2 linked regions of the Oreochromis niloticus genome follow. The protein of the gene in region 1 purifies or fractionates together with the protein of each later gene. This does not show direct contact. Links are inferred from orthologs where the notes say so. Each region holds a gene or a part of one and is shown on either strand. Other genes may lie near its edges.

The links. The genes of interacting proteins can lie anywhere in the genome.
Region 2: the proteins of anks3 (region 1) and nek7 purify together in Homo sapiens (affinity purification with mass spectrometry; 3 studies listed by BioGRID and IntAct, with this or other methods). This does not show direct contact. The link is inferred for Oreochromis niloticus from reciprocal best matches to the Homo sapiens genes ANKS3 and NEK7.

Annotation. Positions count from the first base shown.
Region 1 is NC_031973.2:19,315,220-19,322,972, forward strand, and holds the start of anks3 (ankyrin repeat and SAM domain-containing protein 3), read right to left. Parts: upstream 3,014-7,753; 5' UTR 2,911-3,013; intron 2,554-2,910; 5' UTR 2,539-2,553; coding exon 2,372-2,538; intron 2,292-2,371; coding exon 2,093-2,291; intron 1,290-2,092; coding exon 1,168-1,289; intron 1,073-1,167; coding exon 991-1,072; intron 755-990; coding exon 637-754; intron 515-636; coding exon 365-514; intron 1-364. Other genes in the region: lg8h8orf33 (UPF0488 protein C8orf33 homolog), read right to left, coding at 4,567-4,781, 4,863-5,009, 5,203-5,293, 5,379-5,815, 6,567-6,690. UniProt on the Homo sapiens protein: May be involved in vasopressin signaling in the kidney.
Region 2 is NC_031981.2:1,440,423-1,447,360, reverse strand, and holds the start of nek7 (serine/threonine-protein kinase Nek7), read right to left. Parts: upstream 3,016-6,938; 5' UTR 2,729-3,015; intron 1-2,728. UniProt on the Homo sapiens protein: Protein kinase which plays an important role in mitotic cell cycle progression. Required for microtubule nucleation activity of the centrosome, robust mitotic spindle formation and cytokinesis.

The sequences.
Region 1 (7,753 bases):
TTCATGTAGCTACAATTTTAAATGTGTATGTGTAAATTCCTGTGATAATAAAGAGACTGTAGCTCAAAACAAATCACATTAAAGCACAGTAATTTTTAAAAACGTAATAAAAAATGAATCTGATTTTTTCTACCAATCTTAAAAATAACCACCAAGAGCAGATTTACTGGAAATGTAAGGCACTTTAAGACCTTTATTTCTTTTACTTTAATTTCATACTTTCTAAGGACCTGTGGGAACCCTTAGAAACAGCTTTTTTTTAAAAAAATGCAATTTAACTTCATAACTAGAACAAACGTGGTGTTCAAAGTGTGGCTCAGCACAGATACAGGTTGAAGACCGGATGTTTTACATGACACTGTACCACACAGTTTGCTGGTGCCTCCTACTCGGAACTTGGCGATGGCCTGAGGCCCATCGTGGATGCTGATGCCTTTAGCTCGGTTTCGGCTGGGCCGTATCCTCGGTGGTGCGCTGTCCGAGTCCTCGGAGGAGCTCAGATCTTCAAAGTGTCCTGACAAAACAGAACACACGTACCAAACCCCCCCCCACCGAAAAAAAACATTAGAAACTAAAAGGCAATGAAAGACCTAGTAAAGACAGGAATTTTAGATGCTGAGCCGTTTAAACCAGTACCTGGTTTAATTCTTGGAGAACGTGAGTCAATGAGGCTGACAATTTTGGTATAGCCGTACATCATAGCCAGAGCACGCGCCGTCTCACCTTTGGTGTTGCGTTCGTCCACTTTAACTTTCTGAAAATTCAAAGGATTACCAAATTGTGAGAAAGGAACGTCACCACCCATCCTCAGCGGTGTGCGAGTCATGTCAGTTACATTTTCCAGTGATGTGGCTCCATCTTTAAGATGTTGAAGAGGGACAGGAGATGGAGATGCGGCAAAAAAAGGAGAATGACATGGTCTGGCTGACCAAGTACTCATAACCACTTGCACTCACACACGAGTATGTTCCAGCACAGTAACCTACTTACATGATCAAGTAAGTACTGAACAATGATTTCATGCCCAGAAGCAGCAGCCTCCATCAGCGGCGTGAAGCCAGAACCTGGCTCCCTGTGTATGAGGGAAGAATCATGGAAATCTCAAAAGTGTGAACAGATCGTTATTTTTTTGGATGGTCTTTTTTTACAGCAAATAAAGACACTCACTTGACATTGGCGTCAGCATTGTTATCCAGCAGGAACTTGACCATCTGTTGGTGGCCTGTGCTTGTGCAGTGGAACAGAGCGGTCCAGCCTCGAGAGTCCTTCAACTCCAAATCAGCCCCTTGCTTTTTGGGTTTAATAAGGAAGAAAAAAAAAAAAAAAGGAAGAAGAAAAGAAAAAAAATGCTGAATGTTCACAATAAAATTTAAAGTTAAAAAAAGAGTTGAATCCAAACCCAAGGCCAGATTTACTAAACAGGGCAAAATTACACGCGAGCAGTAGTGTTGATAGGCGTGGTTAGTTTTAAAAGGCGATTTTTAAAACACGTCTTCGAAACACAGACAGTTATTTTCAATATCATGCAGAAAAAACATTGACAGTGCTACCCCTCAGCCTCCTCCTTCAAGTGACATCCTTGAGTTATTGCATTCACAATAATATATATATATATATATATATATATATATATATATATATATATATATATATACACACACACACATAAAGATCCAAACTCATTGTCTCATGGAAATCCACAGTGGCAAAAAGAAACCACTGTATGTTAGTTAACCTCTAAAACAAAGGTTACACGTGGGTAGGCTGTGAGAACACATACCCCTGTGGCCTGACATACCCTTCAGAGAAGTGATGCTCACAGACTAAAAGGCCGCATGCAAGTGTGCCTTGTGTATCATTTGCTGTTTTAACATGCCATTATAACTGCTGGGGTTTATTTTGCATCTTTTTTTGGCTGGATCTACCCTTCAGTTACTGTCCATCTGCTTCCCATCTAATTCTTGGAGTTTATTTTAACTTGTTATTTGCTTTCTGTCTCTTTTCAAACTCTTTTTGTCATTCTGAGGCTTCACATCATCACAAATCTCTGAGCCATTGTTTTGTCCCCCCCCCATTCAGGGTGATTCTGTACCTGAAGCAGAAAGTATGCGATACTTTCGTTCCCACAGCTTGCGGCCAGCATGAGGGGTGTGAGTCCTTTGGCGGTGGTGGAATTTACATTCACACGGGCCTCCAGCAGCAGATTTGCAATGTTGTCATGACCAATGTAGGACGCATACATAAGTGGGGTCCATCCTCCAATGTTCTTACCATCCAGGTCCACCTCACGCCTGAAAGCACACACAGTTATGTGAATAAGCTGTGGAGGATATTAGCCCGTGTGGAAATGTTGGTATTAAGAGGCCCTCACTTTTTAATGCACTCAGCCACCACGTCGTACTGGCCGATGGAGCAGGCGGTGTGAAGGTCCAGAGGGACATCCAGCTCCTCAGCTCGCACCAGGGAGTCACCCAGCCACAGGGAGAGGCTGGCACCCAGCTGTTCTGACTCACTGGCCTCATCGCTTAACTCGGACATCTTCACTCTTTTCTCCTGGGAAACAGAGACACCATAAACTGCTCTAAACAAACTACAACGCCCTGGTTTCAAACTTTAAAACCAGGGGCTTACGAGCCTGCAAGAAGCCCCAAATGCTGTAGCTTCAGTTGATGGAAAACATAAACAATCCTGACTTATACAGGCTCACAAATAGCGGCTACTTTAAAGCTAACGGTAATTTCACAGGGCTCATGACTCCTCTGGCTAATTTAGCTTAGCGAGGTGAGCGTCTAAACTTTTGGTCTCTGGAATAAAACCAACACAGTGAAATAAACTAATTAAATACTCAGAAGACAACAGAAGCAAACGAGTATTTCAGAGTGCAGAAAAATATAACGAGTTCAAACTTACAGTCAGCAGGTAGTTTGTTTTCTCAGCAGCCGAAACTTTTCTAGTTGTGTGTCACACTCTAATGTGTCCGTGCTGAGCCTTGCACCACCCTATCCTGTCTGAGAGACACTTTAAAGGGAAAATCTGAGGAATCACGCTTCCTTAAACGGGAAATAAACACAGGAATGTATGTTCTTTACACAAACTCTTGATTCATGTTTGCTCTCAAGGTCAACTTCTCTGTTTTACACACACAGGCTGAGTTTAAAAGTCTATGAATCATTTACAACATATTCAGTGTTATTGTGTGTTATCATGGAGTTAGCAATACTTCATCATTTAATCAAAATATTCAAGTAAATGAAAAGTACAGTTTAAAAAAAAATGTGTGTGAATTAATAATCAGGAAATTCGATTGATGTGCATTGCCCAATCTGATGTCTTCCAGTGGCTTTTACATTTGTGTGTACATTTTCATTCATTGTGATTTTTTTGTTTTTTTGTAATTGTATTGTAGTTTTAGAGGCATTTTGACTGTGTCTGTGAGTGTAGCTTTGTAAAAACGTGACAAAAAGGGACAAATTAAAGAATCAACCTTAACTCAGTCATTAACAATAACATTTTCATATTTGTATAAAGTGAAGATTGAACATAAAGTGAGATTAGTGACTAAACTTTAAAATATATATGAGTAAATCAAAGCTAACTTAGCCAGTTTCCCTTTTAATAAAAAGCGGTACATACAGTCACGTGAAAAGGAAGGTTTTACAGGACTATGCAGTGTGCAAAACTAGAGGCAGTAAATCCTTACTGCTTCCATAAGAATTAATTGGATAAGTTGCAGCAAGGTACTGCTAATCAAATACTTAACTAAATTATTCATCAGCAGCTGTGAAAAGTAGAAGTTTTGGAAGTTTGCTGTAGCATTAATGCTATAAACATCCCCAGGAGAGGACATTAATCCCAGAAAACAATTAGTGCTCAAGTTGTTGCTCCTTAAAGTGGTTCTACAAGTTACTGAATCAAGAGGTGCATTTCCTTTTTGAATGTATAAAGCCTTTGTGGAATATATGTTAGCCTTAGTGATGAAAAAAAAACTATGAATCAATATGGATTATTAACTGTAAACTCAGATTTTACTTAAAAATCTTTATTTCATTTTATCATTGCATTTAATGAAGACACTACAAGCAAAAATACCAAAGTTTTATTTTTTAAAATGTATTTATTTAGCAATATGATAAAAAAAACTTGAATGCTTTGAACCATTTTTTCTGAATTAACATGATTATTATCTTAGAAGTCCAACAAAAACTTATTTGTCTGTTTTTCTAAATATACAAGATATTTTGGCACCTCAGGTGTAATCCACAGGACTCCAGTATTTATGGTAACATGTCTCGAGTCGCCATGCTGTCAGCCTGAATGGACTTGAATAAGCTTCTCTTGAGATTTGAGCAATCACATTAATTCAGTGAATGGATCACGCTTTGTAAAAATGTATTAGTTAAAGGTTTTGTCTGTAAGCACAGAGATTGTGACATCTTCTCTTCTCATATCTTCAGCGTTCACCAGAAGGTTGTCCACAGATCTCTGGTGGTGCCGTTCTGCCAGCCTACGTAGCACTTTAGCTCCAGCATGATGCATTGTGAAGGACTTGGCATCAGGACAGACAAATCAGAGAAAATTGAAGTGAAACTCCTCCTTCGATGGGATAAAAACAAAAGCCGGTGTTGCCTCCTGAGTCTGCGGCGTCAGCTCTGCACCCTGGGCTTCAGTGTGCTGCAGCTTCTCCTCAGCAAGCGATGTCTGAGTTTTGACTTCAGCTCTCCGGTGGAAAACAGACTTCTTTGGGGACTCTGACACAAGTTTGACCTGGGCTGATGCAATTTCTATCAGGGCACAGAGAAACCCGTTAGCCAGCTGCAGTTTTTAACCATTCTAATGAATCCGCTGCTACAAAATTCACTCACCGCTCTGAATGAGTTTGAATTGCTTGCTCTTCTCCTCTTCCATCTTCTTTCTGTAGTCTCCAGTTACAGCTCTCATCACCTGCCTCTTCTTGGGCAGAGGAGCTTTGGAGCTGCGCAGAGTCTTCAGTGCACGCGAGGCCTCGTCCTCTGAAGGGAGAACATATTCAATAGGTGACACCATGATTAGAAGTTTACTTTTTTGTATGATCTTGTTTAGATCATAGATTAAACATTAAAGAATCCTGAATATTAGTTTAGTCTAGGCTACGTTCACACTTGGATTCACTGCATGTCCCTTCCAACCACATCATAGTACTTCTGAGGTACAAATCTCACTAACTCTGCTTCGGTGTGCCCTTCTGGGACTTCAGGCCCAGCTCCAGCTGCTCGATGCACCAGTCCAGCTCCCTTTTCAGCTGCTCTTCTTGACTCTAAAACACATTCAGACATAAAATCAACCAATCAAACTGCTCACCTCAAACCCACTGTAATTACTTTAAAGCACTGCGCACTGACCAGCTCCTCTGCAGCACCTTCACTCCCCTCAGCTGGCTTCTGCAGTGGCTCAATACTCGAGGGGTTTTTCTTCCCTGATTTCTTTTTCTTCTTCTTTGTTTTTGATTGCTCAGATTGTTCAGGTGGAGACTCAACCTCCTGCGAAAGGGGAGGCTTCTCCTCTGGGACGCACTGTCGGTCACCTTGAGAAGTATTTGGGGTGTCTGTTGTGTCCATGTCCTCTGCAGGAGGAATTTGAAAGTTGAAGGCAAAAGCAGAGCCCTGTTCAGTGAAGGAAATCTGGCTCGTTGGCTCAGTCCAGTCCGATGCAGGTGTTTTCTCTGAAGTTGCTGGAGAACTGTCAGGGAAGAAGTTAAACCTGAAGACGTTATCGCTGCGAGTCCAGAGGGGCTTCTCGGCTGCAGCAGGTGTGGAGCTGTTCGATTCAGCTTTGATATCTGTTGAATGAACACAAAGGACACACAAACATTAGTTTATCTCACTTTTGAGAGCAATGTAATTTCAATATAACACTTTAACTGTGAGAAATGATAACACCGACATAAAACCCTTATGTGCGTTTCAGTTGCTTGAAATCTTTTAAGCGTTCACTTAAAAGATTTAAAAACCCCGTTCTGTCCAGTAATAACAGGTCGAACACATGCATGTGTGTTATTTCGTTATAATATACCGATGTACAACAGCCTCTGGTCGGCCATGCTGAGTCTTCAGAGCTGTAGTTTTTTAGTCGAAACGCGAATTTCCGGTTTTTTAACTCGATGCAAACATATTCAGTGAACCCTGCATACGTTTTTAAACATTTTTAAAATTTCTTTAGCTCTTCGGTCTCTTTAAAAACATGTCCAATCCCCAAACCAGACACTTACCACCGGTGTTACCCGAGAAGAGGTCCGTGTACTTACACTTTCTCAACGCCCGCTTCGTTCCGCGCGTGCATGTTCAGTGCTCTCGCGCTTATTTGTCTATTTATTTTTCATTTTTTGAACATTTTCATTGAAAAATCTTTGAAATAAGAACACTGTCTATTTATGTACGCTTTTAAAGCAACTTTTACCTGAGATAACAAAAAGGCTTATTATTTTATATAATTAAATAAGCAAATAAATAGTGTACAATCATATCACTGTGCTGATAAGGCTTTATTCGAGTGCATCATTATTAGATTATTTCGAATACAAATAACCGAACCTTTTTCGTTTATGATGGTGATGAGGATGACTTGGTACGCTCCCGCTTCTCTCCGGTTTTTTTTTTTCACAGCAGGCACAGAGTTCGAGGAAATGTGTCCTAGGTCTGTTGGACAATGCTTCATCCATCGAGTTTCTGTCAGCTCCAGAATTATGTATCACACTAAAGCTTCCCATTTATATATGAAGAGGTTTATGTATGGAGCGTGTATGTCGATTTGTGAGGTGCACATATGCTTTTTCAGAATGTCTTCTGTGTACTTCATTTGCCTTTTCACATAGTACAGGCTACAGCATAAGTATGGCAGCATTGTTCCCGCTTGTCTTAATTAGTTAAAAGAGGGGGGCGGTCAGTGACCACCATGTTTTCAGAAAGGAATTCCCAGGTTCTAAGATTACACAGACAAAATTATATGTATAACTGTGTGGAATAAGAGAGAAAAGCTGCGGGTGAATAATTAAAATCAAAATAACGACATGCTTCTTTTTAAAATAAGGTACATCTGACGATCCGCTCTAACTTCACACGCAGAGGCAGAGAGCCTCCTTTTTCCTGAACTAATCATATTCCGTTAGGGATTTCAGTTTGGACCAATTGGATACGTTCAGGGGCGGGCTTCGAGCGCTGCTCCGCTTAATCTATAAATACCACCTCCTCAGCCCTCAGGGCAACATAGCGAAGTGACTAACAAGGAGGAGTCATTGAATTTCCCCGAACAACGAAAGTGATCCAAGGTATGGCTGTTATGTTTGTTTATGGGTTTTATTTAAAATCGTCAGTATGTGAATTGGATATATTATCTTTTTGAGTTTTGGTGTTAATGAGAAGCTTTGAAAAACTGACAACAAAACGGCGCGCTCTGTAGCTAAGAGCTAGCTGATGGCTTAAATTGAGCCGATTTGACTGCTCTTAGGGTATGACTACATAATTATAAACTAATGTTAATGTTCACTTATACGACTGAGTGCCGTGTTGTTTTTGGTGATATTAATTGGTTAATTTTAGTGTAAATCTTCGCGGTAACTAGCTGGCGCCATTTTGCAACCGTCCATGCTAGCTTTAAAAATGCTCGACAGACAAGCAAAGAAACGTGTGTGTCTCCTGTAGCTTAATGGTGGCGGTGCTTAGAGGTTTGTGTATGATATTTGAATAAAACCATAAAAGTGGTAACTGTTGTAACTTGTCGT
Region 2 (6,938 bases), on another chromosome or scaffold:
TTGCCAGTTTTTTTTCTGCACAATGCTTGGCCAAGGTCTTTGACATCATGCAAAAGACAGCGTTTAATGTAGCTCGAAATGGCCTCGGGAAGCATCTTCCTTCAAATATGCTCTGTGAAAGAAAAGAAAAGAGCCAACATTTTTTTTGTTCTCTGTGAAAACCCAAAGGCAAGATGACTGTTAAAAGTGGTCAGATGACAAATGTCTCATCTGATCTTTAATCCAGGAGGGGGGGCGGCTTCAGGGCTAAAACAGGAAACTCACACAAGATTGAGCTATTTGGTAAATTCCACTGTGCTAAATCACCGCTGCAGTGCTGCACATTTCTCCACACCGATGAATGGCATTTCAGTCCTCGCTCTGAATGTCGTGCTGCTATCAGACAATGTGTATGTATGTGACCCCGGGCGCCATCAAATATCTGTGCTTCTAAAACAAAACTTTATTTCTTCAATTAATGGCATCATCAATGTCTCTTACAATAAATAATGGCTTAAACAATTTCTAACATGAACAATTTTCAGTTTCTACTTTCCCCGAGTTGCCATTCAATAAGACTTTTATTAAATCCAAACAACAGAACGGGGCTAAACAGCCAAGTTTTGCCAGAGCCTGTCAAAAGTAATCCACCTCTCATCAGCTCAAATTCAAAGTGGGATGTTACTGGCAGAAATCCCTCATCACAGAGACTGATGCAAACATTTGGCAGCCATTTTCTGATCATCCGGTTCATGACACATTCCTTGATAGTCAACTTCACAGAGCCAGCCAGTGTTCATCTCAATCACCTGATGACGCTGGCAGACTCGAGCCTGTTGTCTGACGATAATCGGATGTGGCAACAGAGAAGTGAGTAATAATTGGGTCAACAAGGTATGTCAGCTCCCACTAACTCTGGTTTGAATCATCTCTCTGCAGCGTAGCCAAACGTGATAGTATGACGCCTGAAATATTTGGCTGTGATAGGCAGCGACAGCAACGTGGCACGGGATACTGCTTTCAACCTACATCTGACCCCGAGATGATTAGGCTTAGCGGAGATGAAGCCGCCCACATACCTGTGCAGAGAAATCCGGTGGTATTTGTTTTGTTTGTTGTGCCTTTGGCTTGTATTTACTCCTTTTTTTCCCCCAACTTGTTTTTCTACTCATGCCATTGTTATTATAATTTGTATTTTTAATATTATTATGTTCAAAATTAAAGATGAGAAATTACAAAGTTCCAACAAAACTGTGGACGCCATGAGTGTGTAAAGGTTTTGCAATAACTACTCTGACTCACAACAAAGGAAGTAAAACGAGAAAGGCCTGATCTCTGATTTATTTTTTATTTGAATAAATTACTTCTTTATAACGACTTGCAGCTCTCTTCCAAACAAACCTCGTCTACCAAGTGTATAGTTTTTATTGTGTTTGGCAGCGTGGAACAAAAAGACAGCTGGAAGCGCGTATGCCTTTTCCAAAAATTACTAAAAGGTTAAGAAACAAGTGTTTTGTAATACGCCTTTACATGTTTTCCTAGATTAAAAAAAAGAAAATGCAGAGGTGGGTTTGTTTTTTGAACTTCCATATAATAACATATTTGCAATTTGTCTGACAGCTACTTTGGCTTGAGTTTAATAACACAATCCCACATATGACAACTAAAAGAAACTAAACTAAGGCAGATTCACTTCAAATTTTTCATTTTTTATTAAATTTATAAAAAGAGCATTATTTTTTCCCCATTATCAGTGATAATTGTAAGATAAATCAATTTAGATTTTGATCTATAAAACATCAGAACACAGTAATTTCATCAGTGTTATTGAATCTAAACCTCAAAATTATTTACTTGACTTCATTTTTTTTTTTCCTCTATCAAAATATCTCTTGGTTGTTTTAAATTTTAGTCTCCACACATAAAAAAAAAAATTGCCATCCACGGGAAAATTACAGTAGGGATGCATGTAAACTACTGGGTTTATATTTACAGAGCATGGGTGCCAAGCAGAGGTTCGTGGAAGGCATCCACTCCATATCCAACCCTGCTTTGGCCCTGCTGCAGTCATGTTCATGGATGTTATACTACTCGACTAGGAATTCCTCCACAAATGTCCTTACTGACAGCTGAGACTTCAGATCCAAAGTAGAGTAAGCAATGTTGACAGACACGTTGCACATCACGATTGACACATTACACAAAATAAGTCTTTGACATAAAAAAATACCTTCACATCATAAACTACTGACAACCAAGGATGTAAAGAAAGGCTGTAAAGACATCACCGAGGCTGTGTGATTACTACTGTTTGAAAGCTGTTGTGTACTACGTGTAACATGACTGTAACATTGTAGCAACAAGTGTCCACTGTCATGTTGGCACCGCAGGATTAGCCGCTTTAGCACTTTAGCACAAAGCCGTTTTGCGCACATTGTAATATAAACGTACAAAGCAGCTGGAAGCGTTTACTGACACCTTCAACTGTCCAGTTTTATAGAGATAAAGTCCGCAAAGCGACATGCTAGGAAGCTAACAAGCTAGCCTAGCTAGCGAACTTCACAAAACTTCTTCAAATGAGCGACAAAGTTGTGTCTGAAGGGCAACTGGTGGCTACTACGAACTTTTTAAAAAGTCTGTCACTTTCCGAAGAAGTTAAAGCGCAAAGAGCAGCAGCTTACGAGGAGTTCATTAGCAGTAGCTGAGTTTCAAAAAGTTCACTATCAGCTAACGCCGTGTCAGTTCTTACCAGGAAGTGGGAGACTGTTGCTAAGCTATTCCTTCTTCACGCTGAGGCTTTTTCCTGATGGTTATGGCGGTTGTCTTTGTTTTGACTTTCCCTTTCTTTCCAAGGTCGCTGCGAGAAGTGGACTCGGCGGGCCTCTGTTCCTGCGTGGCACCGTGACTGAGCTGGAAAGTTGTCTCGCAGAGAGCGCCTGTGCCGCACAGCCAGGCGAGATGTGTACGTGTTTTCGGACAGACTCTCCACTACTAGGCCCCCCTCATCACCACAATGCTGACCCGTGTGACTGTAATGTAAACAACCCAGCATTCCCGGAGCGCAGGGGAGGGGCGAGTGTCAAAGAGCGAAGGGAAACTGTCAAATACCGCGAGATTCAAAGGAGCGACTTCGAATCACCACCTCGCGCTGTCTTTACACTGAAGCGTGTTATTTACGGACAGAGGAGAAGTTTCCTGTTTCAACTTATGGTGCATTTACTGGCTCTTTCTCGAGCTTTTCACTTTTAATTGCTGCTGGGCTTTTCAAACGCACTTGTAGACAAGTGGCATCTGCTTATATTAAAGGAAAAACAGGTATGTCTATAGCAGGCACCTCAAAAGCTGTGCAGCTCACACCAGAATAATTTAGATGGATAAATAGCATTACAGTTATCGCTCTGTGCTTAGTTTGAAGAAGTTGCATTATACCAAAACGTTACACCTTCGTGTTGCAAAATCCATCCACACCTCTCCAGTTCACTTCTGTGGTTGAACAGAAGATGATCCCAGCTTTCATAGGACAACAGGCCCACGTCACCTCTGTGAAGTGGGCCTGTTGTCCAAGCCTCCCGCGATTGTCTCGACTTTTTTATTTTTTATGCCAATTTTTGCTCATAATCGTTGCGTTTTTCTTTATACCACCCACCACTGTCTGGGATGTCATTCTTAAGTTGCAACAAAACTAAAACATTTGGTATTCCAACTTTGCTCAGAATTTGCATGACAATCTGTTGAGGCAGTGTAAGAAGGTTTAAGTGTGCAGAGGCAGCCAGGGTGTGCTGAATCCACTGAAGCACACGCATATCCTCGGTTATTTGCTCACAGTCTCGCTTGCTATCATTGCACGTGTGCACATGACACGCGCAGAGTCTCTAATTGGGAATATTAAGAGAATTTATTGACAAAAAAATGGTGCCGCGGATTGACTCGCGTGGACAGCGAGCGCAACTGGAACTGATCAGCTTACTTTGCTTTGATAAGAGCTTCAGCGGTGATTTCAGACTGACAATTCAAACAGCGCTGATACACAGGAAACACATCTGTCTTCTTCCCATCCCCATTGTTAATAATCAACAAGTTAGGTGGGGCTGTGTTTTTTCTCCCTACTTCAATCGCCTTTTTTGTTAACCTCACTGCAAATATGGAGAAAGGAGAGATGCCTGGAGTGTGGGATTTTTTTCCCCCTTTTTCTTCAACAACAGTTGAAGATTAAAAGAAACGTCTCACAGAAATCTGTCAATTCTGTATGTGAATAATGCTGTGTGGAATTTAATGGCATGAGTTATATTGGGTTTCCTCTACACCCACATTTTCTCTCAATAAGATCAATGCCGCTCAGTGACAGATAGGGATGGTCTTTTGTATCTTCAAATTTCAGGTTTCTAAGGGAATAATTAGATGGATGGATGAAAAGTAATGCATCAGTCTGCGAGGGGAGCTGCACCCCGAGTTCCTGTAGTTCAACACGCATGCCTCCACGTGTTTGGTAGAAAACTGTTTAATAATCGTGTTGGGTTTCCATTGTTCTAAAAGTGGCTCTCTGCACTGATGTGGCGCTTTAAACCAATGGCAAACTTTTTGTGTTCTTTTTTTTTATTGTTTATTTAACAGAGAGGATCTCCTTTTGATTTGGGGATATTTTTTTTAGAAAGGGAAGCATTCTCATCTATTTCGCTCTGTTCCTTTTCAAACTTTCAGGTGTCGCTCGCAGGTAACCAGCATGGAAAAGGTTCTTCCTCCAGGGGAAATGAAGTAGGTTGAATCGCTGAGTTTACAGAGATGCTTTAGACCTTTTACTGTAAGTGTGACATTTAACTCTGATGTGTTCGAACACACGTGCTGAACGAAATTCCCACAAATGAGATCTGATGACAGCGAGCATGAATTTACAAGAATTTGGCCGCAGTGTGAATGTTACGATATTCCATAAGTGATGGCAATAAAAACAACAACCAAAGTTGTTAGGCCACCCCTCATTTCATTGTATTTCTCCGGGAAAAACACATGGAAATCCAGTATAAAGCCAAACCAGAGTTTTTGAAAGTCAACATTTGGTATGACCACTTTTATTCCTCAACTTTTTAAGACAAGCTTTCTTCTCATTTCTTTAAGTAGTCTTCAGGAATAGTTCTCCAGGCTCCTTGAAAGACATTCAAAGCTCTGCTTTAGATGTTGGCTGCCTTTTGTTCCATTTCCTGTCAAGATGATCCCAGACTGCTTCGGCACTGTTGAGGTCTGGGCTCTGGGGAGGCCCATCCATGACTGATAGTGTTGCATATTGATGTCATTTAGATTTGGATTCATCGCTCCATAAAACCTAATACCTGCTTTTCAGTCGGTTCTAGTGTAATTTGGCATTTTATTAAAAATGGCTTGTTGACCATTTCTAAAAGAGGCAAACAGCAGACGGATCAGCTGAATGGCGAGATGCCTCCTGCATGCCCTGTGTCAGGTCTTTGCTGGATTTTTTTCCTATAGGACATGAAATCAGCATCACATACGCACCATGACAAAAGATGAAGCCATGCCACTTCATCTTTTGTCCTCCACCTGTTCAGTTTCCTCAGATTTGTTTTAGAACACACTGCAAAGCAAAATACTATTTAATGTCTGTCAAACTGTGACCTTTTTCAAGTTTTATTGTCACGTACAGATAAACAGTGTAGCAACATGAAATTCTTTGGCTTGTGCTCCTCAGCTTTACATGAACATATAGAAGTGTGCAGTTATATTAAAGAAGAAAATAATAATAATAATTATAATAATAACAAAATACTAAAGTATGAAATATTATAGAATTTAAGACAATTGTTTGGTATTTACAGTTTGTGCAAAAACGTGTGCAGTGAGGATTTAAAGTGGTCGAAGTGACCGTGTTAAAGTGAGTGTGTAATGGTGTGTGCAGTATGTCAGCAGTTCAAACGCCTGATGGCTTGTGTGTAGATTGGCATTTTTCAGAGCTCTAAAGAAATTAGAATAAATTAATATTATATTCATAAGTCAGCATTAAGTGGCTTAACAAACAATATAGTCTGAAAGACCGTCATAAAGCCTGGACGACTATCGCTCACATCACTTACATTTTTTTTTGCAAAGGTCTGACTCCTTGGAAGTAAAATATAAGGACAAGAGGGGCGGCCCAAGACTTTTGCACAGTGCTGAGTTCTGAAATTGATCATTTTTGTGCAGAGTGGGGGAGCTGAAGTTTCCATAATCCATAATATATTCCATGTTATTTAACCCCACCTGGAGTTTTAGAACCACTGGATGAACATTTGTCTGCTGACCGCACTTTACAGTTGCCCATTAATCCTGTAACATTCCAAGGAAGCATGCTAGGAATGGATGCTAGCTAAAACAGGTGGTCCTACACTAATTTCTTTTCTCCATTTTGTTTACATGTTAGAGAGCTTAAGCTGTGACACCACTGGTGCAGCGGGTTGCTAAGTCGTGTATGTAAAACAAGATTAGTAGTGACCTTATGTGGAAAGATCGGATACTGGTCACTCCCAAAAAAAGAGTGGAATTTCAGTTATACGTAACTCCAAACACTCCCACCTGAAATAATATGGAAATCTGCATTTGCATTGTTGAGGTTCGATAGGTAATACAAGCTAAAATGACTACAGAAAGCTTAAAATTAATTTGAGTTTACTTGCAATTTTTTTTACATTAAAAAAATTAAGTGGTTTATACAAAGACCAACTCAATTAGACAATAATTAATCTGATTATTTGTAAACATGATCCACTTTAGGCCAAACTCAAACATTGTGAAATAAAGAAAAAAAGGTCAGTTTCACATAATTTGCACAATAGCAGTATTAGCTGTGAACAAGACCCACACAGTGTTCTTGTTTCTGTACAGGTTTCAGTGCATTCCAGCTTTTCACTGCTAAATATGCAGATTTTTTTACACCCAGAGGCTGAAAGCACATTTTAAACACTTAAAAAGAAAAA